Alligator mississippiensis: one gene and its partners. The protein of the gene in region 1 interacts with the protein of each later gene in a biochemical or structural test. Links are inferred from orthologs where the notes say so. Each region holds a gene or a part of one and is shown on either strand. Other genes may lie near its edges. The genes, in order: PATJ, CLDN1 and TANC1.

Region 1 (9,962 bases):
CGCTGCCGGGCGGCCATGATGGAAACGCGCCGGTCAGCTGATGCGAAGCTTGGTCAGGAGCGAGGCTTTGCCCCTAGCCAAGATGGCCGCCACGCCACTATGGCCAATGGCGCTGAAGGCGAGCCGGGCGTTTTCTCAAGATGGCTGCCCCCCCTGCACCTAGAAGCCGAGCTGCCCTTAGTAAAGATGGGTGCCCTTCTACTACTGGCAGAGCGGCTGCCAGGTGTCGATGGGAATCCTGGTCCCGCCTGCTCGTCCCGCTGCATTGTGGGAGACGGGGAGGGAGGGGCTGGAGGGATGGAGTAGAGGCTGAGGAAGGAGCAGCGAGCTCTTTTCTTCTCCTCTTAGGATAAAGAGAGGGAAAATGTGGGAGTGTTTTGGGGGTTTTTAAGTATATTTCCTTCTGAAATGTGCTTATATGCGCATTACATGCAGAAGATTCACCTGCACTGGGAAAGTGGATCCCCTGAAGTGTGGAAAAGACAAGGCAGAAAGAAAGAATGACAAGAAAAAGAAAAACCTAATGCTAGTTATGGAGAAATGTAATTTTTTTTAAAGGACTTGAGTAGATCGGTACCAGTTTTGCAAATTCCTCTAAACCAGTGTTTGCCAACCTTTCCCAGCCGGAGGCAAGCTTGCATTAATAATAAAAATGTCCGTGGCACACCTGTTAAGGCATTCCCCATCCTCATACCTACTGTAGCTCATTGCCATGGCAAAAACCTGTGGCACACCTGCTCATTTCTGATGGCCCAGCGGTTGCAAAACACTGCTCTAAACCAAACCTGGTTATCTTGTGGGACGAGGGGTTCATCTGAATCAAAATCCTTATTTTAACCAGACACAGGCTGTACATTTTAATGCAAGGAGAGGTCAGGCATTACCCACGAGGTGTGACCTTGTGCCTGCAGCCAAGTGTCATTCACAAAGGTGTGACATTCTTTTCAGAACATCAAAGAAATCCTTAGTAGTCTAATTTCTGATCACCACAGATGACAGACGAATGCATTAACACCAGCCTGGTTTTTCCCATATGAGGAACTTTTAAAAATGTGAAGCACACAAACAAATGAGCGAGAGCCTGTCGACATGACAACACACTATTGGCAGAACAGTGTCAGGTGCGGGTGTAAAAGAATCACCCCTTTCACTGACATAGCCCTGCTAGTCCAGACACAGCTCTGCTAGCGGCTTTTGCTGTTCAGGGGAGGAGGTGCGACTTGCAGCAGTTAAGGAACTTCTACTAGCGCGGCGGTTCCCAAACTCGGCAGATTGTGCGCCACCAGTTTGAAACAATACAACCTTAAGTATCACCAGCAAATTTTTCAGATCAACCTTAAGTACCACCAGAAAACTTTTGTCATATAAAGTAGTGATATTAAATCTAATGTGTCCACTGACAGATTATCTACATACCACTGGTAGTACGTGTACCACAGACTGGGAACCACTAGTGTATGCTGTGTTTAAAACAGGGGACCTGTGTTGCCCACCCAAGATACAGCATCGGCAGCAACCCTGTCATAGAGACTAGGCCTCCAAGATGCTTTCTATAGTGTAATTATGTCCAGTCCAGGATGGCCAAAATGCTTTACAGGTTTAACACTTACTAAACTGATTTAAGCTTTTTTTAACTACTTGACTGCTAGTGATATTAAATTTCTGAAACTACATGTTCCAATTTCCAGCAGGATCAAATCCCAGAGGTTTAGCATTAGGTCATCCTGAGGATTCCTAGTAGCTGCCTGTGACTATATTTCCCTAGTCCTGAAGTTTTATTAAAGTTTATTTGTACTGGTTTGGTTTATTACAATTCTGTTTTCTTACTCATCTGTGCAAAAATACCCACAGTAGATAAGCCCTATATTAACTGTGACTTTGTGATCCTGAATAGAAGTAACTAGAACTGTGATTCTCAACCAAGGTACCATGACATCAGGAGTAGGTCAGGGGGGGAGCATCAAAATCTGGTGGAGCAACTCTTCAGGAATGCACCTCAAGGGCAGACGAGGACCAATGGGCATTATTAGCTAATAGAGGATAAATTAAGGCAGGACATAAGAAAAACCTTTTTCTTTGTAAGGGTCACCACAATCTGGAGCACACTTCCAGCAGAGGTGGTGCAGTCACCATCCTTGGAGGTGTTCAAGAGGAGACTGGACAAGTGCCTTGTTGAGCTCATCTGAGCCCAGTCACTTCCTGCCCACAGCAGGGGACCAGACTTGATGATCTTACAGGTCCCTTCCAGTCCTCCGATTCTATAATTCTATGGCACCCTGGGGTGCCTTGAGATCCTTTCAAGGACGCTGTGGGTTGCCACACAATGTTAGCATTGTTAGGTGTGCAAGTATAATTCACAAGATAAAACTAGAATTTTCACATAGGAATCAATAGTGTTCAAAATATTTTGACCTGTTGTCTTTCTGTTCTTGCAACACAAGAATTGTTCTGGTGTTTTTCTGCAGTTAAAAAAAGTGAAAATTAAGATCTGGCATTTTCCAAGGGATGTCTCAAGTCTATGAAGGGGTACCTCGACTCCAAAAAGGTTGGGAACCACTGTGCTAGAAAAGTGTAGTATATGTGACCAACTAGTAGCACTGTATGACCTCCCTTGTCCTCGTTCAGGTTTATTTAAATTACATCGAGCAAAACTCCAGCTGTTTAAGAAAGTAAATCAGGAATTCTGCTTTACTCAGAGGCTCTGAAAGCTGTTTGGGTGCATAGCCATTTTTCTTTATCCTTTAAGATGTACGTACCAACTAAAATCCCACATCACCCATATCTGACAAGCTAATAATAAAGACATGGGCCTGTGAGAAATGGATGGCTGAAGGGATTGGCACTATGATGTGAAATATTATTCATCCCTGTCATTCTACCCAGCTTGGTAATGTCCCCCCAAATACTGCTATCTAATGGCTGTTTGGAAATTCTTGTGAAATAAACTGGAGGTCTACTGCCTAATGGAGAAAGTGTACAAGTAAAATTGACAATCCTGTTGGCAGTTGTAAAGGAAAAGCCAAAGGGAGAATACACCTCATAATGAACCTCATATTCCACGGGTAAGACCGAGGCGGATTAGAAAGAAAAGTAACAAACTCGGTTGTGCTTCTGCCCACACTGCATCTTGGCTGGATAAACAACAGACCTCAGTATTCACCTCTGTTTAGCCGACTGGCAGTTTTCATAAGCACTACATTAATTCCCAAGCTCAGGCATGGGAGTGGGAAATTAGGCACTTGGAACCTGAACCAAGTATCATAAATTGGAAGAGGAGGATATGACATATTTTTTATGAGCATTCAGTACACTTTCCAAAGGTTGAACAAATAAAACAGAAATGTGAGAAAAACAGTTGGAAAAAAAAGCGTTGATTCATATTTCTGATGCAGGCTGCTGTTCTAAAGTCCTCTCTCTCTGCTTGAGAGGATCACATGAGATGCACTACACAATGAACTGGGAAAGCAGAAGCAGCTGACATAAAACAGGCAGTTTGCTTTCAGGGTATTGACTTGGTATCTGCAACTTAAGAATACAACAAAACAGGCTAACATCTACTTTTCAGAAGTATGGGGAACTGCAGCTCTTGCTGACTTCAACTGGAGTTGGACATGCTCGGTCCTTCTGAAAACTGGTCACTAAAAAGAAAATACAGAAACATCAAGACTTTTTGGGTATATAATTTTTCTTCTCAGCTGCCCAGAGAAAGATTATGAAAGCAGAAACTCCCCCACTTCAATAGGGATCGTCTTGATAATTTCTGAACCATAAATAACATATATAGCAGATTTGGGAATCTTGCATTTGGAACAGAATGGAAGTTACCATTGACACTCAGTGCATAGTATTTTGTATGCCACGGATATGAATACCTGGATACAAGTGTTTGTCGGCTATAGATTGAATTAGATTTCAGCATTTCTCAGTTTAAACAGAGTATCAATACTGTCAATACTCCAACAGAAGCCCAGTGTGTTTGTGGGGGCACTGCTCATCAACGTGTTTAACAGTCCCCTCCCTGTAGCTGTAGTGTCAGGGCTTGCACATTTAAGCCAGGAGAAGACCAGATTTATCCATGCGGAGTTTGTCAAGTTCCAAGCAGCTGTGTGCAGCTCAGTCGCCAACTCTCATGATTTTTTGGTGTTGTTCTTAAAGTTTATGCCAGGGGTTCCCAATGTTTATGTGCACAAGGGCACATTTGAATTTAAAAGAAAAAGCAGGGGCCCCAACATGAACATTAAAGTTTAGAATTTAGAATCCAGGATATGTGCATGCGCATGGCTCCGTTCGGGGAGGGTGTGCTAAGAGCCACGCCGTCACAGTGTCACTCAGACTGACGCAGTCTCATTTTAGTGGCTGTTGCATACAGCCTGTGAAAATTTTTTTGAAGTGTTGCTGTTCTGAGTTCAGTCGGCAGTGACAGCATTTTGTGTCGGAATAATGCTTTTTACTAATCATGAAAATGTGCATGGGCACCTGAATAAACCTCGCGGGGTGCCATGGTGCCCGTGGGCACCCCATTGGGATCCGCTGGTCTACGCTTTGGGAATATGAAAAAAATAGCTCTTTCTTTGATATCTATATGTGTGTGTATGTGTACATATATATGTGTGTGCATGCATGTATACATACATGTGTATACATATGTGTGCATACATATACATACATATACATATATATATGACCCATATGGAAGCCATATAGGACCCATATATAGCTTATGATCCTTGCCGGCCACTGGTTTGTTACAGCCTGAAGATCTGTGATCACCAATTTCCGACACTTCCTTAAAAAAACCCAACAAATCATGTCGTTTTATTGCCGGTTAAAGAGTAAACCGGGCGTCCGGAGTCTCGGGGCTGCCGTCAAGTTGCGGCTCCGAAGTTGTGCGCGACGCAGAGGCTGGGCACGGGCACGGGCACGGGCCCGGGGAAGGGAAGGGAGGGAGGGAGGACAGGACGAGCGGAGCCGAGCCGCGCAGCTCAGTCGCCCCTCCATCCCGCGCGCTCACAGCTGCGGCTTCGAGCCGAGCCCGCGGGCTCCGAGCGCAGCCCCGTCCCGTCTCGTCCCGCGCCCGTGCGGCTACGGCGCTGCAGGTGGGGCGCGGCCCGGCGGCTGCTGCGGCTGCACTTCCGCCCAGGTGCGGCGAGCGGGGCAGCGCCGGGGCCGGGCTGGGCCGGGCCGGGCAGCCACTTCCTGCGGGCTGGGTTTCACCGAAACCACCTCCCAGGCGCCCAGCTCCGGGGCTCGGATCGGCGCCGCCAGGTACCGGGCCCGCAGGGGCAGGGCGGGCTGCAGCGCCTCGGGACGCGGCCACGGGGAGGGGCTGCTTGTTGCAGGCGGAGAAAGTTAGTTTGCGGCTGGGAAGAGCGAGGCAGAAACACCCCCCGCCCGCGCTGCCCTCGCCCTTCCCTGCCCCGGCCCTCCGCTGCTCCCGGGGGGCCTACCGCCCGCACCTGCAGCCACGTCCCTGGGCCGCCCCGGTGCTGCTGTCCCGGGAGCAAGGGGACGGGCTGAGCCTGCAGGGAAGAGGGGAGCGAGAAGGGGCTTGTGTGTGTGTGTGTGTGTGTGTGTGTGTGCAGGGGCTTTGTTTGGTTTGTGTGTTGTCTTCTGTTGTGGCGTGCCAGGCTGGGGACGCTTCAGTCTGGAGAAGAAAAGACCCAGATAATCATGTCAAGGGCCTACCTCAGCCCCCGCGCAGGGGAGGACAAGAAATATAGGCAGTCCTCTTGACTTAAGACAGGACCGGTTCTTGAAAAACACCTCTCAAGTCGAAACGTTGTAACTCAGAACTGATTTTCCCATCGGAAACAATGTTATAAATAGAGGATTGGTTTCTGAGCCCTATACCCTATTTTCACCAAAAATAACCCAGACTTTTGTACTCAATTATAGAGGAGTAATATAACGATATTAATGTTTTGTAAATAGCAATCATATTGATTTGGAAGGACTTCTTTGAGGTGACTTGGCTGGACTTTTTGAAGGGCTCTTGGCTGGCGTCTTCGCAGGAGTCTTGGCTGCAGGTTTTTGGAGTCTTGTCTGCTTTCTTCAAGGAAGTGTCCAAGGAAGTTTGGACAGACGCTCTCCAGGGAGATGGGCAACGCAGCAAACATGTTCGCTGGCGTGGTGGCGCATTGGATCAAGTGTTGAAAAAGTCAACACTGACGTCAAAGTCGAAGCAGGGTGTCAATTTATAAAAGTCGAAAGTGCCGTTCTTTGCAACTCAAAACGTCGAGGACTGCCTGTGATGGGCATAAGCTGATTGAGGATTGCTTCGGGCTTCACATAGGAAAAACTTTTTTACAAGTTAAGTGCTGAGGGTTTGCAACAGGCTTCCCCCAGAGTTGGTACAGTCACCCACCCTGGCAATCTTTGAAAAGTGTCTTGACACCCATCTTGCTGGGGTCATTTGATCCCAGTCTTTCCTGCCCAAGTGCAGGGGGACTGGAACCAATGATCTGTAAGGTCCCTTCCAGAAACTGTCGCTCATTGGTGACACATAGTGCACACAGGTGCACCTGAGGTCAGTCATGCAGCCCCTGGAAGCACCAGCCACGAAACTGGAAGTGCACCCCGTCAGCAATTGGCCTCCCCCCCCCACTCAGGAGGCACCAGTCACCCATGATATCGCTGACCTTATCTCCCCACCTGGGGTTTATCTCAGCTTGCTACATCAAGGAAAAATGCCTGTCTAGTAGGTTTTTATACTGACGTAATCTCAGTTTAACACCCACCCGCCACCTCCCAAACAAAACCAAACCCAGGCCATGTACCCTTTTTGCAGTGAAAACCTAGCCACAGACTTGGGATAGGAACTATTTTTGTGTTATAGAGTATTAAGTATCCCATCCTGTTGCTCCTAAATAATGACCCCAATTAACATCTTCTTTTTAAGACCACAGCCTTAAGTTCCTGAGTCACTGTGGGCTGTCATGGGCCGTGTAAAATAATTCACAATCCTCTCCAACTTCCAGGGGAGGTGCAAGAAGGGACAAGGGTATCTTGTGTTTATATAGATATAGCAACTTTCTTCTGAAATATTGCAAAGCAGGTCAGAAGATTGCATGTGATGGCCTGATCTACACTAGTTTTATAGCTGGTTAGATATGTTGCATGTGAGAAGGTCCCACATCCCCTTCTTTTGTATGGCTGATGTAGACCTATACTTTTACATTTAGGTGGTTGAGTCAGACAGTTGCGTCAGGAACATCAGGGTGTATTGCTGCAATACCTTTTTCATATTTATGCATCTGGCATTGAGTCATTATGTGTTCCATGGTCTGTTCTGGGTGACCACGTTGCACACCGAAGAGTTTTTAAGTTTCCATTTGTGCATCGTCTCCCATGGTTTGTGCAGATACAGATTAGAGTTGCCCATGAGTGTCACGGGAGATCAAAGCCAGGGACCTTCTGCATTGGATCTGTCACAAGATGTTTATTTGAGACCTCCTGTGAATCCCATTCGATTTTCCAAGCTTCGTCAGGTTCAAGTTATGCCCCCTTAGCCTGTACAGGTATCCTGACAGGAGATGAATGTCCACCAGTTTAGCTAATGTCATTTGGGGGCAGTGGTGTAGTTAATTTGGCAGACCCCCCCTCCCCCCACACATGCACACACTTTTGCTGCATATGTCACATCTCCAGGAAGAGGCTCTTTGAACACAGCTATAGCATTGTCATAGCAACAGGGGCTCTGTAATTTAGGAATTAAAAAAAAAAGTGGTGATGCTTCCACACTGCCCAAAGCCCTAGCGTAGCTGCAGATAAACCAGCATAAAAGAACATTTGTCAAGCTAGCTTATTTTGATCTCCCACCTGGTATGAATTAGATCTGCAAAAGTAGTTTTGTCAATTAAATTATGAAGATTTAGGGATTACCAGAAATACCGGTAAACCTGTACTACTGTAGACCTAGCATCTCTGTCTAGGTGGTGTCTAACAGGTCCCCCCAGCTGGAACTAGAGAGTGTCGTACTTCACTATTCTGTAAGCTAAGTGCCTTCCATGCCTTGGGGATTTCCTGCCATCTTCCCGTGCTTGCTGGTGTTTAGTGCAATATTGACTGGTTACATAGTGCTGTCTTGCCTTGTTTCCAGCTGCTAAATTTAATTAAAAGATGCCAAAAAATAATCAACTCCCTTGCTAATATCCCATTAAGCAGTTGTTGTTGTCTAAAAGATGATGACTGATTGCACGTGGGAGAGGCAGTATCTATGAGGTAAAAGGTGGAAAGATTTGAGAAGCCCCGAACTGACCGCTTTTTGGCTTAAAGAGCAGATACTCCTATAGTATGTGGAATACAAGACCTTTGCATGCCTGCAGATAACAGTTGTAGCCAGGTTTTTTGGGTCATGTGCAGAGGGCCCCTATATGCTATTACATAACCTTCCTTCCATTTGATTAAGTGCCCCCCTCCCCTCCTTGCTACAGCACTGCCTGTGGACCTTAGTTTCTTTTTCCTCCATGCCCAGCTTCACACGGACTTTGTGCTGGTTGTTATATATGCCGTGCCCTAAGTGTGTGACTGAATCGATTGCCTTGGTCCAGGAAGCATATAGATCTTCAGTGCAGCACATGCAGTTTCTTTTGACCAGCCCCTGGCCCATTAGATTCCTTTTGCTTTCTAGTTCTTGTCACTGCCCTACAATGATGCAAAAACCACTTATCTTATAATCGTTTAGGTCCAGGTGCAAACTAAGGGGGAGCTTGGGGGTTGACCCCCCCCATAAGATGAATGCCCCCCCAGTAAGATTTGAAAATCATAACCTGGGGGAGGGGGTCTCCGATTAGGTTGCGCCTTTACTTAGGTGGACTCGTTAATCAATGCACTGGTTTCATTTTTTTTTTTTTTTTTGCAGACCCCGCCACAAGAGTCGGTGTAATTTGAACCCTGTATAGGTCAACATTTTTTAAAGAGATGTAGGAATAGGAAGGGTTGTCTTATCCCTGGCTTCTGTGTAAGGGTGTGTGGTACACATATGCAGACCATTACAGACTGCAGCATTCCCTAGAGTAATATGCAGCAGTTAACACTAAACCTGCTGTCTGGTGCTTGCTGAAAGGGATATTTTTGTCAAAGGTACTGGTGCAGATCACTATGCTCAGGAAGTGTCTGTGCAGAATAGCCCAGGCCTTTTTAATGATCTCATCTAAAAGTTGTGCAGAGGGTAAACAGTATTTCTTTTTGTTGACTCAGTCTTTCATGCTGCCAACCTAATACCTGGAACACTAAAAATGAGCTTAGTAGCAATGTCAGTCTTGATGCCAAATATCTTACTCTTGGGATTTTTAACTAAATTATTCTTGTTAATACTGCAAGCTACAGGTGCGATGGGTTATGCAGCCTAGGATTAAGGCCGCCTGACGCTTCCCTTTATAAGATGCAGTTTTCAGGTGCAGAGTGCTGCAGCGTGTTGCTGGTGCCCCCTCTAAATCAGTGCTTGGGGTTGGTGGCCTGCTTGTCATGGCCTAGTTACACTACCATTATTCAGTCACATGTCCCTTGCCAGCACCCAAGCAGCAAGCAGAAGTCTTTCTGATTCAGATATATGGGGAGCGAGAGCTGCATCTGTGTGACGTGGACAGACGAGGTGATGAGAATGCAAATAGGGAACGTGTTGGACATGACAGAATGGGTCATGCATGTCGGAGAGGGTAGAAGAGTCTGTGCCTACTGAAGCACAGAGCCTCACTATTTCTTTTGCTGTCGGCAAATCCTGTCAAACCTATTGGCAAAATACTTTGTGACCAGAATTAGAGGGAGGATAAAGGTTCATTTTGCTATTCAGAGAACTGTGCGGGGAGGATTCCAGGTCTGGTAGTGACCCAGGTGGGTGCCAAAGCAGTGGTACAGGATGGAGTTTTCATTTTTTTTTTTTCAGTTTTCTTTTTTAAAACCCTAGAATATTTCATGTGGTTGTGCACTAGCCCTGACATAATTAAGGTCACAGCGTTACACAC
Region 2 (9,867 bases), on another chromosome or scaffold:
CTGTGGAGACTTCCCCAGGAGCAGACAGACCCAGCTGCGGTTGGGTTAATTCCTGCAATGCCGAGGCTGGAAAGCCCAGCAGCTTTCAATCACCATTAAAGGGTCCCAACACCCATGAACCGCACGGCTCATGCTTGATCTGAGACCTAGATAAATGCTTTCCACGGCAGACATACTGTCCCATAGCAGCCCCCTTTCTAATACCAAACATTTCCCCCAAACCCAATGCTATTCTGCACCCGTGGACTTGCAAATTAAGTGCATGCTATTTTTCAAGGCAGCATGGTGAAAAGACTAGGGCTCTCTCCCAGGTGATACCCTGGCTACCTTTTTACACCATCCAAACATCGTGCAAACATAAACCGACCCCCTCGGTGCCCACGCAGGCACAGGGCTGAATGCACGCCCACCTCGCACACACAGCTTGCACGCCGGAGAGCAGCAGCCATGCCCTGCTCTCCTCTGCCAGGCTTCTCCTGGCACCTCACAGGGCAGGTTGGTCCCCAGAGGCTGCTTTTAGGGGTCACAGGTTTGCTTGCACCCATCCCCGGGTTGCGGGTCGACAGGTGAAATGCAGCCTTGTTGTTTGGCTGAATTCAACCGCGCCCTGAATGACAGGCCCCGGCTTGCCGCCAGCGTGGGCACGCTCCCACGGGGTAGCGATGGAGCCCTGGCATAGCTCCCACGGTGCCCAGAGCCGTCAGCCAAGCCAGCCTCGCCCGGGAGACAGCAGAGACAGCAGGGCTGCTAGGTGTGAATGCTGCCTGGAGAGGGATGGGTTTTTCCCCAGGCCCCCCGCTCCTGGGAGAGCCTGGTGCTGCACAGCGGTGACCCCCACATGCTGCTAGTGATGCCCCAAAAGCCCTGGCGAGGGGCTGCACATGGCACTGGGTCTCACCCCAACTCAGGTGCCTGGCGATCATGAGAAATTCAGGGAAGCTGCAAGCATTGCAGCTGAGGCGGGTGGCTGGGCTCAGGGTGCGGCAGACGCTCTCTGGCTTTGCAAGTTTCTCCCTGCCAGGGCAACACCCGGGAAAAGGCCCTGGGGATGCTTGCCATGCTCCCTTCCTGTCATCCCAGGGGGATCACAGCCAGCTCTTCGGGAGCAGAGGAACCTGACATGCCAGCGCACCAGGGTTATGAATGACTGCTATACGGTCATTCATAACGCAGGTCCAGGACAGACACTGACCTCAGGAGGGAGTGACGTGCTGACCACAATGTCCCGCAGGGGACCCGGGGTCCACCCCGAGCACAAGGGAAAGCCCCAGCGCACTTTAGGCACCGTATCATGTGCAGGTCAAGGACGCTATGATCCCCTCTCACTGGAAGACGGCGGGGGATTATCGGACTTGAATGCCCGTGCACCCAGCAGCCCTGATCTTCACTAGGGTTTTGCCATGCGAGCGCATCAGGCACCTCTTCCACCCCCCTACTTGTGCATGTTCAATCACACTGCTCCGTGAACGCCGGCAGGGTCAGATGAGGTGGGGAGAAGACCCCAGGGTAACAGGCTGGGTTTGGAAAGGACTGATCTGCAGTGCCATGTGAGACCCAAGACTAGCCCTGAGCATGGTACCAGCAGCCGGTAGCCACTGCTTTGCTATCAGTGCCAGCGAGAGCAGCATCTAACCGAGCCAACAAGCATGGGAGGACACCTGGGCTGAGTTTTGGCTCTGCTCTGATGCAGCCGGGCTGCATCTCCAGTGGTTTCTGGTGGTCCATGTGCGTGCCCAGAGGACTGCACAGATCCCTCCTCCTCCATAAGGAGCCGAGGACGTTTCACTCCAACCGGCCAGCGTGGGTAGGCACCACCCTTGTCGGCGAAGTGTATAAACAGATCCACTCCCCGGCAAATAATTAAAGGGACCGACTGGCTCCTAAGTGGGTGGTGGGTGAGGCTGCTGCATTTCTCCAGCCTTTCCAGGCAAAGGCCTGGCTTATCCTCAGACATGCAGAAATGTATGTCACCAGGGCTGGACTCGAGCGGGGCGGGGGCAGCGTGGATGGATGCCTCCGGGATGACAGAGGCTTGCATTTGGATGCATGGCTGGGGAAGCAGAGCCGGCTTCTTGCCGGGAGCTGGGAAGAAGCTATGAGAGCAAGAGCCCTTCTCTGCTGGTCCAAGCCACAGCCAGCTGCATGCAGGTGCAGCTTTTCTGGCCACGGCCCCCGAGTGCCCGCCCGAGCGAAACGACAGCGGGAATTTTCCCAGAGCCAAAAGCCTGAAGCTAGGAAAGAGAAATTCAAGCTGGCTCCCACCTGCAGAATCAGGCCCTACCGCTCAGGCCCCGGAGGAGGGACGACTGAGGACAAGGTTGCAGACATGAGGGATTGCATCCTCGCGGATGAAGCAAGGCTCTCGGCTGGAACATGCCCGCCCTCGCTGCCGGCGCGGGCACACGCACCCTTTACTCCGGCAGCTTTTGCAACTGGTGCTAGGTGGATGCAACTGGCCAGGACTGGAGGGATGTGATCGGCGGAGCAAACCCAGCAGCATTAGTGCTTTGGAGATACCCCCGATGGACCTGGCTCCCACGGGGTTGTCTCCGCTGATGAGGCTGTGCCACCCACCAGGATTTTGGGACAGTTCCTGTCCCCTGGTTGCTATCAAGAAGAGCCTGGCCAGGTGGAGCTGGCTATGACCTGGAGAAAACCTGGCTTTGATTTCTCCAGCATTTCACATTCCTACCTCCCTCGCCCAAGCCCATCGCTGGCTGGAGCTGCCTGCCCCGGTCCTCCCCGTTCATGCTACACCAGTGCCTGGTTGAACCCCCGACTCTCTGCCCAAGGCCCAGCCACAAGCCCAGCTCCTCCAGGCCCCACAATTCACCAGAAACCAGCACTGGAGATGGCACAGCATGGGGCTCTTCCCAAGCACCCTCCTTGGGGAAGCAAACCCCACCTAAGGCGGTTGCAAACCCCACCTATTGCTTTGCAATAAGTGAAGACTGCCCAGCCTGCCCCCTTGACAGCCTAGCACATTTGTTAAGGGGAAAACAATCCTTTTGTCCTTCTGGGAGGTGCCCTATCTCTTGGGGGCAGGGGCAGATATTACAGCAAGGACTCAGGCAGGCAGCCGAAGCAAAAGTATATATAAAAATATATAATAAAACATATATAAAAGTAATACTATATAAAAAGCATATATCAAAATCTCTCCAGAAAAGAAGAAACCCCAGTGATCGATTCCCTTGTCTCACCCCGCTACACCCCCAGCAGACTCCTTGATGGGAGGAAGGTGCCCGTAGCAAGCGCTTGTGCGATCAGTGAGAAAACAGACATACACCTCGGCCTGGCTTCTGCATCCCTACTTGTCAAGCCCCGTTCAAAGGCTTTGGTGGCATTAAATATGGCCAAATGCCTCCCTTGGGAATGGTTACCATGAGATGCACTGGCTCAGGCTGGCCCACAACCAGAGCTTTCCTGCCGGCTGCAGCCGGAGCCGGATGGGACCCTGGAAGTCCAGCAAACAAGGCTTGCAAGCAGGGGTGCATGGGGTGCCGGGAAGAGTCAGATCCAGAGAGACACAAGTATGGGCAGGGCACGATCTCACGGACCCACCAGCTGAACCAGAACAGCAGCACCCTAGAGCTGTCCTTCTGGGATCTGCTAACAACATCAGGGTGCCGGACTCGATCTGTAAGGTCCCGTCCAGCCCCTAACAACTATGAAAGTATTAAACTTCAGGGCGGGGACAGCAGGGAGAGCCCCCAAACCCGCTCCACGCACTTACTCTCCAGTTTCAGCAGGGAGTCGTATATCTTGCACTGCATCTGGCCTGTGCTCTGGGTGACACAAGACATCCACAGCCCCTCGTAGATGGCTTGGGCTGTCACAAGGTTGTCCCCGGCGTAGGAGGACATCTTCCACTGGGGCATAGCCGTGCTGACGATGATGCCGATCCAGCCTACAAAGGCCAGGATGAAGCCCAGCAGCTGCAGACCTCCGCTGGCCATCTCAAAAGGGCTGTGAAGAGGATGCCACAGTCCCTAGGTACCAGTCCACGCTCCCAGGACCTGGGCAGCTGGTAGGATTTGCCTTCTTCCTCCCCCTTGGCAGCACTCAGGCGGAGATGTGAGTGCAAAGACTCTTCCCTGCCTCTCTTATCCTCCAGGAGCAAGGCAGGCGTCGGTGCTGGCTCCTCGGGCTAGAAACCACCTGAATGAAGTCAGAGCATCTCTGGGTTGCAATTTAAAGCCGAGTCCTCGGGGCTCCCCCTGGCGGTTTCACCCGAGCTCTCGGCTCCCGGGAAGGGGCCGTGACAGCTCAGACCCAGCACAGCTTTCCCCTCCTGCCCCGCCAACCTGCGTCCAGATGTGCATGGCTTCTGGCAGGGCGTGGGGAGCCAGGGGGTTTCTTTCCAGCATCCCGTGCAATCAGCTCCAGTTGGAAGACAGAGCTCACAAGCTAGCGTGTGTGTGGTGTTGGTGATACCCATGTGTCACACTGCAACCGGTTTGCCGGGGACTTGTGCTGTACAGGCTGCAGCAAGAGCCGTGACTGGGAGGGTGACTAATGTTCAAAGCTACCGAGTTGCATCCCAGCGATGCCAGGTGCTTTCTCTCCGAGGGTCTTGCATGCTTGATAAATGCAGGCCGGCGAGTGCTCCTGCGCCGCCGTGGGCCAGGCATCTCGGCCCCTGGAAATGCATGGATTCTGCTTTGTGCTGCGCACCAAGGTCCCTGAAGGCCCCTCGCCCTGCCCCATCTCAGAGGGCCAAGGTGGCAGGCAGCGTCTCCTGCACTCGGCTCCCGGCTCGACCTCCCGAGGCGGCCGTAGGTGACTCCGTTTCCCCGCGCCTCGGCTCCTGCAGCTGGGAAACAAGGAGTGGGTGCTTGCCCTGGCTCCCGGCGGGACGGTTAATGCTACGGGACTGCAAAGTGCTTTGGGAACTGGCCTAGGAGAGGCAGGACGGGAACAACCGGTGTTTGCTCAAGGCTGCAGAAAGGCAGGGGAGCTGGGGTGGTAACTCAGGCGCACGTGGGTGGGGGGGGCCTGTTTCATGCCCAAATTGCAGGGAAGAAATCACTCGCCCAAAGCACCCAGCATTTGCTTTTTTCCTGCCTGGAGCAAACCCCAGGCAGGCTTCCTGTGGGGTCTTTCTTTTTTCTACGTGTTTTAAAAGGAGCCAAACGTGGGTGTATTTGTTCCTAAACCATCACTTCCATAGTAGCCCGGCTCAGAAAGGCTGAAGCAAAGCACTCGGGCAAAACACTCATCCGAAATCAGGCACCAAATTCAGGCTGGAGTTGCCAGTAATGGTGTCTGACTGACCCCAAGCTGCATTTATCCACCGGCCAACTGACCCTTGTGCCCAGCTCTAGGTTTCGTGTCCTTGCTTTGTATCAGCTGCTGCTTTTTGGAAGGAAAAGCAGCTGTTCCTAAAATACCCCTTCTGCCTTCGTGGAGAGGGAGGCTCCCTGCTTTCCCTGCTAGCACGGCTGGGGTCTGGGAGCTGGGCTGTTCTTCCCCTGGCTTGCTGCTCCTAAGGCTCAAACTGCCTTGTCTTGGGGGGATTTTGTTCGAGTGAATCCCAAATCTTTTTTTTTTCCTAAAGGAGAAACCTGCTTGTTGTGGCTGGTTGATGGAAATGGGCAGAGAGCGGATCTGGAGGGATTCAGTGGCCTGATAATATTATGCATCCCCTGTCTGTGCCCAGCACGGCTCCCCCAGACTGGGGGCATCAGGGGGACCCTTCCCCACGCCACGGCTGGAGGGAAGGGAGGAACAGGCCCCTGCACAACCCGAGAGGCCAGGACTGTGTGCAAGACACCTGGAAATCATTTCAGAGATGTCAGCAAACAAAGCCTTCCAGAGAGGCAAGCTGGCACCTGCCACATTTCAGCCTAAAATCAGTTGTTCTCAACCCTCCCGACCCCCACGTTCGGCTCGAAGCCCCACCTTGAAAAATGCCAGCTCTGAGCTTTCACTCGGGTTGACCCTGGGAAAATACTAGAGCAATGCATCGGTTGCAAGGAACCCGGCCAGGCAGAGCGGTTTAAACACTGTGGGTGGAAATTTCTCTTGCAAATCCTAAAAGGATCTCACAGCCCTGCAGAAGGCTGCAGAAACCGGGTTGAGACTCACCGATTTCAATAAACCTGCTTCCAAGAATGGGTGTCTTTAAATTGTCAGGATTTTGGAAAGTAGCATCTTCCACCACTGGGTCTCTGATGCCCCCGGGGAGAAGTGGCTTTGACTGAGCATCAGGGCATGGGGAGAGGTTAAGTGACTTGCAAAAGGGTCCCCGAGTGGGTGAGTAGCAGAGACCCAGGCTCTCTTGGCTCCTTAGGATGCTGGCCTGAGCGATCTCTCATAGGGCTGAGAGCTAGTTTGGGTATAGTCTGATTTGCAGGTAGCGATGGGCTGAGCTTTCATATCCAAGCTGATCAAGCTGCAGGTGAGGAGGGGATCCCCTGAAGACAAGAGGGAATGCATGAAATGAATTGGATGGTGTTGCCTTCACCTGTCATCAGCTCAAGCCCGGAGCAGCTCAGATGCTCTCTCCCACCACCCCTCACCTCGGCATAAACAAGCGTGCGCTGGCGAAGGCCGTGTTTGGCACGGGAGCGCGGCGGGGTTGTTTTGACAGCCGGGTGGCTGCGTTTTGATGACTTGCAGGTTCTCACCTGGGAGACGGCTGCAACGAGCCAACCGGTGATTACGCAGCCAACTTTGCACGGCTCCGGGGGGATTTGCAGTGGGAAAACAACTGCGGGGAAACCGCAGCGGGCACGGGGGGGTGGGCGCTGCCAGCACCTGCAGCAGGGAGCCCAGAACGGCAGTGCAGCTGGGATCGGCCCTGTGAAAGCAAGACAGCTCCCAGCACGGCCTGGCGGGAAGGTGTTTCTCTTTCAAGGGAGCAGGGAAAGGGGTTGCACCCCATACTAGGGCCTGCTTTGGGATGCATGGGGCAGCAGGGAACAGGGTCCCAGGTAGATGCATGGTTGTGCCGATGCAGCGGTCAGTGCCCTCGCTGGGCCGGGCTGAGGTTGCTGCTACTTGGTGTGATGGGCAGCATCCTTCCTAGTCTGCTCCAAGGCAGGAATTAAAGGGGCCAAGTCTTGATCTCAAAGGCTGCCGGATCACAGAGGGGTTTGGGAGGGTTGCTGCATGCCCTGGACCCCCTGGAGACAGCAGGCTGCACCTTGCTGCCCACAGCCCCGCTGCACCAGCTGGCTCCAGGCAAGCCCCAAGGGCTGCAACGGGTCGGCCACGAGCCCAGAGTCGCTCAGGCTTTGGGATGCAGTGGGGGAAGCTGAGAGGTTTTGCGTGGGAAGATCTTGGACGTCCCTGGCAGCCTCTAGGAATAGAGGTCCAGGCTGTCTACCGCACACGCCCTGCCCAGCTCACCCCCGGAGGGAGCATCCTTTACAGGGCAGGGAGCATGCGTGGTTGGGGTGGTCTGAGACGCGGAGCGCAGTGCAATGGATGTGTTCCCCTCCAGCTTCCAGCCTGGGCTGCTGGCTCAACGGAGCCTGCAGTTTGACATCTGAGTTTATTGCTATTGAAATCTTTCCCCTCCTTTCCTCTGCAATGGCTGGGTCAGTACTGCTGAGTGGTGACCAGCTTTGCATGCACAGGACAAGGCAGTGCAGACACGTGTGTCCAAGACCCACAGGGACAAGCCCTGGAGTGCTGCTGGGAGCCAAGGCTGCTCCCCAGAAAGGGAAACTCAGCCCTACAGCTGTCCAGAGAGCCCAGGTTCCTGACGGGTTCGTGCAGGGACCACGTCACCTCCCTGGGTACGTCGATAGTTGAAGCCAAGGCCATGCAGGTTCAAAGGGCTCCCACACCAATCACTCTTTACTTTGGACAGCACAAGCAATACTCAGGCAAAGCAGTAGGTCATCTGCCTCAGCTTTGGTGCTCTTCAGGACCCAGACATTGGCCCGGCAAGGACGCTAAGCCTTGTCTCTGGGGTCTGGGAGAGGAGTTTGACCCAAATCAGTTCAATGTGAGACTCCATTCCACCAGGTTTATCTTAAACCAGTTTCAGCCATTTTGAAACTGGTTTATATGCTGAATTTCTGTTCTGCTACAGGTTTAAACCAGTTTCTGAGGACTTAAAGTGGTTTATGTGCAACTTCTGTCCCTAGCCTTGGAGCTCTCCCCTCCGGACTTGGCGCAGACGCTGTCCTCTTTTTTCTCTCTCCAGCCCACTTCATTTGGCCCCATAGTCAAAGACCCCTCTCCCTCTCAAAGCTTGGCCTTTCACTCCTCTTCCCTGCCCCACAGTCTTATGTCTAGCATCCTCCTTTCCATTTTTAATTGCCTGCACCAACACTGAGTATGTTTGTTCAGCTTCTGGCTTAAATCCCGTCCCATCAAACCAGCTCTTTGCAGCGAGGTTGAACGCAGCTGGTTTTATCTGGGATGCTTTTGCTCCTTAGGTCTTCTCCAGCAAGGTGTTGATAGTCTTTCATGAGCAACCCCTTGGAGGAGCCTCTCCCTCCTCCCCTTGCACAGGGAAGAGGAACGCGGCCGCGGACTGGAATTCGTGTTTTTGTAGGCCCAGCCCCTGCATTTTCATAAACACATTACTCAGAGAAAGTATGCGAAAGCCTGCTAGTTTCCCCCCCGCACCGTGTGTCACAATCTCAGTTAAGGCTGTTTGGAGCAGTTGTGTAACGCGATGATCCTATAATTCCTCTGCGCACAGTTGTGGCCAGATGAGCAACTATATTTAGATAACACCTTCATCGTCCGCAGAGCGCTGCTCGCTGCGGGCAGCTCATCTCTACCTGTTTACTTTCCCGATAAACACCAGATATTTCTCCTGCCGGGGCTTGCGCGAGGGCAACCGGCCGGATTCTTCGCCTCCCGGCTCATTCCTCAAGAGACGTCGTTTGCTTGCAGAATTCAGGCATACTTTGACGATAAGACCCAGAGGAGGTTTGTGGCCATTGAAGCTTGACCTCTTACAAAACACAGGGCATCTCTGGAGCCATGCAAACAGCCTCTAGAGAAAAAAAAATAACCTCCTAATTTTGATTTAACAGTTGCCAGGGACGGAGAAGCCCCCGTAGCTCTGCAGAAGCTTTTCCAATGGCAAATGACCTTCTCTGTTAACCAAAATGGCACCTTTTCTCTCATCTAGATTTATCAAGCTGTTGAAGCGGGTTGGACCTGCATCTATCAGACAGGAGAGCCTGCTACTGCCACCTTTGTGCCCCCGCTCCGTGCTTTTGCAGGTTGTGAGCAAGCCATTCATTAACCTTTTTTTGTGAAGCTAAATGGACCGAGCAGCAGGAGCGTTTCACTTGAAGGCACGGCTCTCCTGCAGTCTCTCCTTCCCAGAGCCATTCTCCATTTGCTCACCAACATCCTGGAGTATTCGACCCCCAAAATCAGTGTTTTGCAACCTCTGTCTTCCTCAAACTCAAGGCACCCTGCTCAGAAAATGCCAGCTCTTTGCTTTCACTTTTTTGTCTACAGGGAAAAGAACAGAGCAATTATTCTGTTGCCAAAAACTCAGCTGCATCATGATGCTTGTGATGCTCTTTGATGTCTCTGGGTTTATCTGGTGAATCACGGGGAGGCGGTTGCACACCAAACAGTGCCGACAGTATGTGGCACCCCTCAAAAGGATCTCGCAGCACCCCAGGGCGCTGTGCCACCACAGCTGACAATCACTGCCCAAAGCAGGCACCGTTTCAGAAGAGGCTACACAATTGCTTAATGCAGAGTTTTCTCCTATTTTTATATACCCAAGCATTGTATTCGCCCTATTGAAGGCAGTTTTGTCCTGGAAACTAATGGCCTACCATGACCCCCATGTCCTCTTTAGAAAGCCAGCGTTTACACCAGCATAGCTGACCATGGCTTTGTCGCCCAGTGTAAATGGTAAGGGGATGTATAATG
Region 3 (10,681 bases), on another chromosome or scaffold:
CTAGAAAAATGTTTTCCCATACAGATTTAAGTTAGACTTTTCACACACATGCATTGTAGTACAGTCATTAATGATACAATCTATATTGCTATACTTCCTCCCCCTCTCACCCCCCAAATGGAAAGCACTTCCTGAATGCATTGCTATTCCTCATTTCTTTTTATCATCTTCATTCACTGTCTATTCCTACATACCATTTACTAGCATACAAACCCTGCACTGAATGCAGAATTATAAATACCCGCTATATCCGCTATTAATATAGTGCTCTAATAGAATCTTAATTCTTTGCAAATAAGTGGACATTCATAGATTCATTGACTTCAAGGCCAGAGGGGACAATGATGCAACATGGGTATCTCCACTCTGGTGTTTAATATGGCAGTTAAATATCACCCACTAATTCCTGTATTGAATTCCTGCTTTGCATTGGTTTTTAACTTAAGCACATTTTCCAGCAATTCATCCAATCTTAAATGCACAGCATCAAGAAATGGAGGATCCATCACTTCCATTGGTAGTTCGTTCCAGTGTTTAATAATCTTTTATTCCTATTTTTGCCTGTCTTGTGTTTCCATGCCCTGTTAAGTCTTTCTCTACTAAGATTAAAGAGTTCTTCAGTACCCAGTATTTTTGTCTATTAAGGTACTTGTACCCTGTAATCAAGTTACTTCTCTCTTGCCCTCTCTCTCTTTTTGAGAAGCTAAACAGATGGAATGTTTTAGGTCTCTCACTGTAGGCCTTTTTCTTGAGTCCTTGAATAATTTGTTGTGGCTCTATGTTTTACCCTGTCCAGTTTTTCAACATTCCTTTTCATGCGTGGACACCATAACTGGATGCAATCCTCCAGAATTAATTTAACCAATCACATATACAGAGAATAAATCATATTCCAGCTTTTATACTTTTGTTCATGGATCCAAAGATCACAGTAGCTCTTTTTGCCACAGCACTGCTCAAGCTGAGTTGCTTATTCACTATGACCCCAGAGTCCTTTTCAGAGCTGCTGTGGTCCAGAATATTGTCTTCTCTATTATTGGTTTGGATTTTTTTGTTCCTAGATGTATATCTAGACAATTGTCTTTTCCGTAGCATAATTTGCCGTTCTACCAATCTATGTCAACTATGAATTTTATGCACAGAGTTTATGCCAGTATTATTTCTAAATGGTTACTTAGAATCTCAATGCATAGGGAAGCAAGGCGCACAGATTAAAGCCAAAATTGTAAAAAATTAAAAAAAAAAAACCAAAACCTGGGCTGCCTAATTTGTAAAGCAGACAGACTGATTCTTTTTTAAGTATGTAGTATTTACGACATTATGTATTTAGAACAGAGCTCCCATCTAGACTACCTCAGTTAAATTTTTAAGTGTTCAGCATTCCTGAGACCAGATGTTTCAAGCTGGGCACCCTAAAAGGAGGATCACACAGTTAATGGGCCACCTGTGAAAAATTTGTGGCTTGCCCCATGCAACAAAAGGATTCTGTGGCAGAGTCTAGGGAATTCAGTTCTTAAGCAAGATGTTCCAACTGCTAAATCAAGAGATACCCTTTTAATTTTTTTCAGTATCCTGTTTTGTTTACTAATCACTTTCAAATTTTCTGAAGCAAGGTTTATATGTACAACTTCCTTAACTACATAACCCTGATTAATAGGCCTATCTGAATAGGGAATTATTTGATTTGGATTCAACCCATTCGGAGGACAGTGATTTGATTTGGAGGTTCAGATCACTGTCCTGAATCAATTCGGCCAAATCGGCTTTGGAAGATTTAGCGCCAGTTCGGAGAGATTTGGAGATTCAGTCATAGACTATAATGAGGAAGCACTGAAATACCTATAACTTTGTCATTTTTTGGCTGATTAGGATAAAAATTTCAGGGATGATAGCTCCTTTTGAGGGCATGAAGTCTGCCAAGGTTCAAGGAGATAGGTACAGAGGTTTTGGGGAAACTACACCTCAAACTGCTGAAAGCTAAACTCATGTCATGTATTTGTGTTAAGGTGCAGCGGGGTGAAAACCGCACGCTTGCTAGCCCCTGCTGAGGCCATGGAGCTTGCCAGGTTTCAAGGAGATAGGTGCAGGGGTTTCTGGGAAACTGCACCTTAAGCTGCTGACAAGCAAAACTCATGACATGGGTGACTGTGCACGTGTTAAGACACACCCTCACTGGGGCTGGGGCCTCTACACAATACAGTAGTGCCCCAATGAGGCCTCCTCCTCCCCTACAGCCTCAGTCTGGTACACCAGTTTAAATAACAACAGGTAATAAGCAGTGTACTGCAGCACAGTAGCACTAGCATCTCAGGCAGCTAAACTGTGACAGACTTTCTTTCCTTTTCTTCAGGAGGTTCTTCTCCTGCAGCTGCCAGAGAACTCTCCCTGCCAGCCCCATCCCTGGGGCTTAGATGTGCCCAGGCCCCTGCATCCTCCCGGTCAGGTGCTAAGGGTGTTGGTCTAAGGACATGGCACTGGCAGACAAGGTCCTTTGGGTCAATCTGGTATCTTTTAGTAGACCAACTGAATAGTTAGAGAAATATATCTTAGCAAGCTTTTGGGTTGAAAAACCCATTGTCAGGCTGAGGAAGCACCTGCAGTTTCTGTGTGTGTGTGCTGTTCCTGGATGGAAGGAATAGTAAAGAAGCCAGAGGCTGGCAGGCCAGAAGGCCAGTCAGTGAAAGTGGACATGGAGGTGTCAGGGGGTGAGAGAGACAGGCTGGGGTAGGGGGATGTAGGTAAAAATGGAGAGGTAAAAATGGGGAGGTACCTGGGGAGTCAGATGTCTGGCATGTTGTAATGTGTCATAAATCCAATGTTTATATTGAGTCCATGAGTTACTGTACTAGGAGGCTGATGAAGTGAAGTTCATAGGCCTGGCTGTGAAAAGTGGTTTGTAAATTCCCTTTCAGGATTAATAACACTTCATATTAATCTTTCCTGTGCTGGAAAATGTGTCTGTCTGTGTAACTAACTAATAATACAGTATATTTCATCTTCTTCTTTTCTGATGTATGACTGTGTCTGACTTCTTCTGTGTTGTGTTTACTGTTGTGTGTGTAACTAAAATAATTTCTTTTCTTCTTCTATGACTCTCTCACTTCTGTGCTGTGTTAATCTGAATCTCTATCTGACTTCTGTGTTGTCTTTAGTCTGTATGTAACTATAATATGTAACTATAACTAATAATAACTATATATAATCTCTCCTTTTATGACTGTCTGACTTCTTCTGTGTTGTAGTAATATCTGACTACTTTTTCTATGATGTATGTGTGTGACTGTGTGTAATGTATGTGCTTCCCTGCACAGTGATGGATCACACTGCTAGGGAAAACACAGCTTTCTTTTTAAAAAGTGTTGGGGAAAAATAAACTAAGAACAAATATAAATTGAAAGAAATGGATTGAATAGGGATAAGTAGAGGGATTCTAGTTAGTAAGCTATATCCAATCCTTTCCAAGAACAGAATGTAGCAGGAGATTGACTAGGTAGGAAGCCAAGCCAATCCAGTACCTTTCAGACACTGTTGCTCAGGCAGAAACAGCCCACAAAAGGCATAGGAAGCCTGCAGACAGAGGATTAATACTATTTTTATGTCCCTCCCCCAGAGTACTGTGATTGGAAGGGGCTTCAGGGAAAGATTACAGTAGGTCTAGATGCTCTTCACCCAAGGGTGCTGAGGGCATTGGCGGGGGTCATAGCGGGGCCTCTGGCACAGCTCTATGAGCACTCGTGGGGCACTGGCCAGGTGCCAGAGGATTGGAAGAGGGCCAATGTGGGCTCCATTTACAAGAAGGGGAGAAAGGAGGGCCCCAGCAATTATAGGCCAGTCAGTCTTGCCTCAGTCCTTGGGAAGACCTGTGAGAAAATTATCAAGGAGCACATCTGCAAGGGCCCAGCTCAGAGCTGTAATGCTCTGTAATGCTCAGAGGCAACCAACATGGGTTCATTGAGGGCAGGTCCTGCCTGACTAACCTGGTTTCTTTTTATGATCAGGTCACAAAGTCCCTGGATGAGGGTGTCAGGGTGGATGTCATCTTTCTGGACTTTAAGAAGGCCTTTGACACAGTTTCCCACCACATTCTCTTAAAATAAACTGGGTGACTGCGGCATTGATGCCTACACAGTCAGATGAGTGGGAAATTGGCTAGATGGTCGCACCCAGAGAGTGGTGGTGGATGAGCCGTTTTCGACCTGGAGGGAAGTGGGCAGTGGAGTCCCTCAGGGCTCGGTCCTGCAGCCTGTACTGTTCAACATCTTTATCAGCAATCTGGATGTGGAATGCACACTGTCCAAATTCACTGACAACACTAAGTTGTGGGGCAAGGTGGGCATGCTGGAGGGGAGGGACAGAATCCAATTAGATCTAGACAAATTACAGAGGTGGGCAGATGAGAATAGGATGGAATTCAACACGGACAAGTGCAAGGTGCTGCACCTAGGTAGAAGGAACCAGCAACACACCTATAGGCTGGGGAACACTTCTTGTCAACACAGTGGCAGAAGGGGATCCTGGAGTCATTATTGACTCCAGGATGGACATGAGCCACCAATGCGAGGAAGCGGTTAGTAAGGCTAACCGCACCTTGTTAGCATCTACATATGCATCACAAGCAGGTCCAGGGAGGTGATCCTTCCCCTCTATGCGGCACTGGTCAGGCCACAGTTGGATTACTATGTCCGGTTCTGGGCGCCACACTTCAAGAGGGATGTGGCTAACCTTGAGAGGGTCCAAAGGAGGGCCACTCACATGATCAAGGGGCAGCGGGGCAGGCCCTACAAAGAGAGGCTAAAGCGCCTGAACCTATTCAGCCTGCACAAGAGAAGGCTGAGAGGGGATTTGGTGACTGTTTACAAACTCATCAGAGGGGACCAGTGGGAATTGGGGGAGGCTCTGTTCCCTTGGGCACCACCCGGGGTTACTAGGAATAACAGCCACAGATTGTTAAAGAGAAGGTTCAGGCTGGGCATCAGGAGACATCATTTTACGGTTAGGGCTGCCAGGCTCTGGAACGGGCTCCCAAGTGAGGTGGTACTCTCTCCTACCTTGGGGGTCTTCCAAGAGGAGGCTGGACAGATATTTGGCTGGGGTGATATGACCCCAGCACACGTTCCTGCCCGGGGCAGGGGGTTGGACCTGATGATCTGTTTAGGTCCCTTCCGACCCTAAACACTATGATACTATGATACAGTCACTGGCCAGTTACAGATGTCAGTCTTTCCCCCGCAACTCCCCCTCCCTAATCTCCTAATCTTTTCCGATTCTATTCGGAGCCTCCAAATTGGTTCAGAGATCTTTTTCTTCTCCCAATTCGATTCAGATTTGGTGATTCAGCCTCTGAATTGGCTGAATCTTCTCTGAATTGAATCATGGACTGAAGCTTTGTGCACCCCTACTGATTAACATGAACACTGCATGCCACTGGGGCTGGGGGGGGACAGTGATCTCCCACAGGCGGTGGCAGCGCTGGCGGCGGCAGGAGCATGGCAACGGAAAGTGGTGAGCTCTTGCAGGTGGCCGCGGGGTGGGAGGGTGAATGCTGACTGGTGGTTGGCGACCACCCGCAGACACTGTTGGCAGCATCAGCATCAGCAGCAGCGATCAGAGACCGCCTGCAGATGCTGCCAGCAGTGTTGGCAGCAACAGGGGCGGGGTGGTGGCAAATGGGGACCACCCTCAGGCACAGCTGGCAACGTGAGCAGCACCTTTTTGCTAGGGGTGCACCTGCGTGCACCTCCTATGCGTTGCCAATGCTGATTAACTCCCCAAAGATTGTCCATCCCGGGTACTATACAGAAAACATTAGGCTACGTGTGTTGCTATGATGCCACATCTAAGGAGTCGGTGATAGGTCAAACTCATATCCTTTTGACTTCAATCTTGCACCTTCCCACTCATATTCAAACAAGCCAAACAACAGATAGCAGCTAACAGGATAAAAAATATCTATAGAAAAGTTATGGGAGGCGATACAAATACAGTAGCGTTTCAAATCGAACAAAGAGCAGAGAAGGCCTCTCTGGAGGGAGGTGGAGGGCATCTGAGGTGGACTTTAAGGCTTGTTTATTAATACTGGTATTTCAGGCAACGCTAATGGCTTGCCTGGTGTTTAACAGAGACATTTTAAAAAGTCTTTCTCCTTCGGATTCGTTTTGTGAACTCTTGTCACCTAAGCCATCTCCCTGCCTGGAGGCGCTTCAAAACAGGGAGCCCACAACCACGTACGTACGAGGTCATGTGAACAATCCCCACGTCAGCGGCTATAAAAAAAGAGCCCAGAGGAGCTTCCAAAAGCTCGCAGTGGGGGAAGGAAAATAAAAGTTAGGAGCAGACAACTGGCAGGCGGGCTTCACCACGCAAGGCGGAGAGCAGCGGGGCCATGTGACGAGCGGCAGGAAAGACACAAATGAGGATGCGGCGGTGCCCCCGCGCCGGGCGGTCCCAGCCGCTCCCCGGGGCCTCCCCGTGACAGGCTCGTCGCTGCCGGGGCCGGGCGCGGCGCGGGGGAGGGGCAGGGGCAGGGGCAGAGACCCGGCGCTTTCCGCCGCTAATCGCTCGCAGATGGGGCGCCGCGCTGCAGGCGGGAGGAGCTCGGCGCGGGGGGAGCTGCGGGCGTGACCCGGCCCGGCGCTGCCTCCCCGCGCGGGCGGGCCGTGGGCAGGGGGTGGCCGCAGGCGGGGGGCGGGGATTGCCGCCGCCGCCCGCTTCCAGTGAGCTCATCCCGCCGCCGCGCCCGGCTGGCTGCGGACGAGCCTGTCCGGGACACGCCGGCGCGGAGGTGAGTGCCCGGCCCGGCCCGGCCCGGCGCCGCGTGCGGGGAAAGTGCGGCCGAAAGTTTGCGGCTGCGGGACGTGCCCGGGCGCGTCTGCACCGCGGCGGGGCGGGCTGGGCTGTGCCTGGCACAGGTGGGGGCAGGGCGGGCGGAGGTCGCGGCCCCGGGGAGGCGCGAGGGGCTGCGGGTGTTGCTTGTCACCACGTTCAGCGGCAGGCTCGGCGAGCGGCGCGGGGACCCGGCGGGGAGGTCCCTCCACGCGGGGCCGGCCGGTCCCGCGCCTTCCTCTCACCTGCGGGCGGGCCAGCCCCACGCGGGGTGTGGGGCGCCCGAGGGCTGGATCCTGTCCGGCTTGGATGACTTCTCCTGCTTCCCCTGTCATGCACCTGCCAAAGCGGTGGCACTTTTGTCACCTGCTGCACCAGCCCAGAGTGGCGGTTGGCAAAGCCGAGGTACCGCCGCTTTGCTTGGGGAAAACTGAGCAGTCTCTTTGCAGCAGACTTGCTGGAGCAACAGGGTTTGCCATGGCGCTGGGCGGTAGCGGCTACCTGTGCCTTGCTGCTCCAGGCCGAGTCCTGCCAGGAGGTGACCCAGCCTGTGGCGGATCCTTTGCCAAGACGCCTTTGTTAGCCCGCAGCCTCGGTGGCTGTTGGCCTTAAGCGTGTCGAGCTGGTTACAACATTACAAAGCCTTGGGAAGAAGCAAGGGAATCTGGTATCTCACATCCGACAGAACTTCCTCCCTGTCTTAATTTCTGCAATGTGGTTGCCAAAACTGAATGGATTGAGAAACTTCCTAATTGTTGTGATTTGACAAGACACGATGGCAAAATAGTGTCGGAGGATTAAATTATGCTGTGAAAGCAAGCGAATATACCTGAATGAGATTTCTGTCTGTAATGTAAACATGCAGCTATGGCAATATATATGGAGGTTAATTTTGCTGGATGCTGTGAAGTGCCAGTGGTTCTGCTTTCTTGGGTTAGCGAGCCACTGGAATGTCCAAATGATGATAAATTATGCTCACTCTAGAGCCAAAACATATTTGGTTCATAGCCAAACTTGCTCAGCTTCCCATAACAGCCTGTAGGAAAGAGACATTTTTTTGTTTCTAACCACAGTTTTGTCATTGATGCCATAGCAACTTTGTGATCTGAGGGTATAATTTTAAAGACAACTGGGCAGTGTTGAGTGAACTGGGCTATATTTCTCTAATGAAGCTTCATACTGTCATCAGAATTAATGCTGTCTTCAACCTCTTTAGACTCAAGGTATCCCTCAAGAAAATGCCAGCTCTTAGCTTACACTCATTTCTTGACTACAAAAAAATAATAAAACAAAGAACTCAGACCACAACAGGTCAGAATATTTTGGACACTATGAATTCCTATTTGAAAACTCTGGGTTTATCTTGTGAACCATGTGTAGGTGTTTGCACACCTAACCTTAATATTGCACAGCTCCCTGCAGGCCTCTGGTTGAGAATCCCTGCTCTAAAACCATTGTGTTCTGCTGTGACAGATTTTTTTGGGCAACTTTGAGCTCCCTTATCTGAGGCCCCTTCTATACATGCAGGTAAAAAATATGCAATCCACATAAGGATGCCTCCTGCCATGCTACATGTGGTTTCATGCACCCATGAGCCTAGGAGAAGCTGCAATCCCCCAGCCCAAGAGGATTTTGCATACCCCTGGATCAGCCACATCCTCCAGCTGCAAGGACCTGGCTGGGTCCATGTACCTGGCATCCACAGCTAGGGGATCCTGGGTCCCTGTGCCGCTGGGACCCAGAATGGGCAGCTTTTGAGGCTGAGAGTCTACCGAGTTGTGAGACCCACAGGCCTGGCTGAGCATGGTGCACTCCTGCTGCTGGGAGCTGGCAACTAACTACATGTGCCATTAAAGCTAGATAGCAACCACTTATAAGAGTTAGTACATACTGAGGTCTAACTTCATAGTTTTTTGGAGCTTTTTATGGCTACTTTGCAGCTGTGGGACATGCCCGGGCATGTCTGCACCAGGGCGGGGTGGGGCAGGCTGTGCCTGGCACAGGTAGGGGCTACTTTGCTCTTATAGCTGGTTAATTATGTGTTTCTAAGGCCCTCTCTAATGTGTAGAGGTGGCCTTAGAATCATAGAAAAGTAGGGCTGGAAGGGACCTCAAGAGGTCATCTAGTCCAACCTTCTATTTGTCTTAAGATGGCAAAGTCATTTATTATACTTAAATGTCTACCAATGCAGTATTATATTTTAAGTAGTGTGTCTATGATTCGCTATGAAACCATTTAATTTTTTTGTTGTTGTTGGTTTCAGAAAGGGAATTTTAAAATCATTTGAGTATAGTACAATTCTTAACTTTCTGATCTTGCCCATATCTTTTCCTAAAGGAGGCATGTCGGTAGAGGGATGATTTCCCTAATATCCCATGGAATCTACTAGGTCAGCTAATAACTGGATAATTAAGATTAGCCTTTTTATTTGTATATTTACTATCACTCTGCTGGTTAAAAACCCTTTTACCATCATAAACCAGGGAGATCTTATGAGTCAAGAGACTTCAGCCCCTTTTACTTGATTCTGTAGATTTTATACTTCTGTAGTGCATTCTGTTCAAAGGATCTCAAAATAGTTTATGCTCATCAACATTAGCCCTTACAGTATCTTTTTTTTTATATTCCTATTTTACCCTATGCACCACAGTTTCATCCTATGTAAGTGATTTCTTCAGGGTTAAATGGAAAGTCTGTGGGAGAAGCTGAAATAGAACCCAAATCTCCTGCCATCTATTTCTGCACTTCAGTAAAATACCACTTTTTTCCTTTGATCTCTTTTATCTCTTATTTTTAGTAGGACATAACTTGCTTTAGTAGGTTTCATAACTTGCTACTTTATTTTCTTTCTCATGGCTTCATAAAAGACTGTTCCTACAGGCTAAATAGAGACAGTCAAAAAGCCTGAGGATTAATCAATTCAGTTTTCACAGGTTAGTCTAAACTGCATAGATTGAACTGATAAGCAAGTGATCAGACATTCATTTTTTGATTCTGGAAATGGAGCCAGATGCCTACAGCAGTCTAGGTCTGAAGCTGGTGGGACAGGGGGCTAGAGCATGCCTCCCTACTCAGCTGGAGCAGATAGCTTGGGCCAAGGCTAGGCTACCCACCCTGCAAGGTGGGGTTTGCAGGAGAGGTGCAAAGCATTCTGCGAAGCTGGGGGCTGAGAGTTGACTTGAATCTGGAGGGGATCTGGGACAGAAGATCATTAAAACAATTTAACCTAAATCAGTTAAGTCTGATACTACATCCATCCAGGTTTATCTTGAACAGGTTTGGGCCATTTTGAATGTGGTTTAAGTTCACTGCACTTCTGTTGTGTTAGATTTGAACCGGTTTCCGATAACATATACCAGTTTGTATATAATTTCTGTCCCCAGCCACAAAGTTTGCCTTGTAGTTTATTTAGTCTTCTCTACTGAATAGGTAATGAATAAAGTTTTATATGATTTTTATCTTGGGTTTTAAAAGTTCTTACTAATTGGATTGACATTGTTGCCACTCACATCTTAAACAGTAACTCTGTAATCTGAATGCATTTATGCATATATTATTGAATTGTGTGAGATGATGGCATAATGTTAACTTCCTTTTTTCCCTCACTTACCCTGAAAAGAAAATCTGCAGTAGGCCTGATGTGGCTTACCGGATCGATCCTGTATACTACTTAACAGAAGGTTAGATTTTGTTAAATCTTAATAAAAGAAATCCTTAATGCTTTTGGGAGTTCTGGAAGTATATCACAAATGAGTTGACACTAGCATTGGGAAATCAGGAAGTTTGGCATTTTGATCTTTAGGAGTAGATATAGAAGATATCCAGTTTCTGATTGATAAAGCACTCTAACTAATTTTGA

Evidence for each region.
Region 2: the proteins of PATJ (region 1) and CLDN1 form a complex in vitro, tested with the Homo sapiens proteins (2 studies listed by BioGRID and IntAct, with this or other methods). The link is inferred for Alligator mississippiensis from reciprocal best matches to the Homo sapiens genes PATJ and CLDN1.
Region 3: the proteins of PATJ (region 1) and TANC1 interact in a test that uses a peptide from one of them, tested with the Homo sapiens proteins (2 studies listed by IntAct, with this or other methods). The link is inferred for Alligator mississippiensis from reciprocal best matches to the Homo sapiens genes PATJ and TANC1.

What each region holds. Positions count from the first base shown.
Region 1 is NC_081828.1:14,933,754-14,943,715, forward strand, and holds the start of PATJ (inaD-like protein), read left to right. Parts: upstream 1-5,023; 5' UTR 5,024-5,096; intron 5,097-5,121; exon of another isoform or gene 5,122-5,265; intron 5,266-9,962. Other genes in the region: TM2D1 (TM2 domain-containing protein 1), read right to left, coding at 1-17.
Region 2 is NC_081830.1:87,404,359-87,414,225, forward strand, and holds the start of CLDN1 (claudin-1), read right to left. Parts: upstream 4,187-9,867; 5' UTR 3,960-4,186; coding exon 3,737-3,959; intron 1-3,736.
Region 3 is NC_081827.1:221,883,399-221,894,079, reverse strand, and holds the start of TANC1 (protein TANC1), read left to right. Parts: upstream 1-6,557; 5' UTR 6,558-6,781; intron 6,782-10,681. UniProt on the Homo sapiens protein: May be a scaffold component in the postsynaptic density.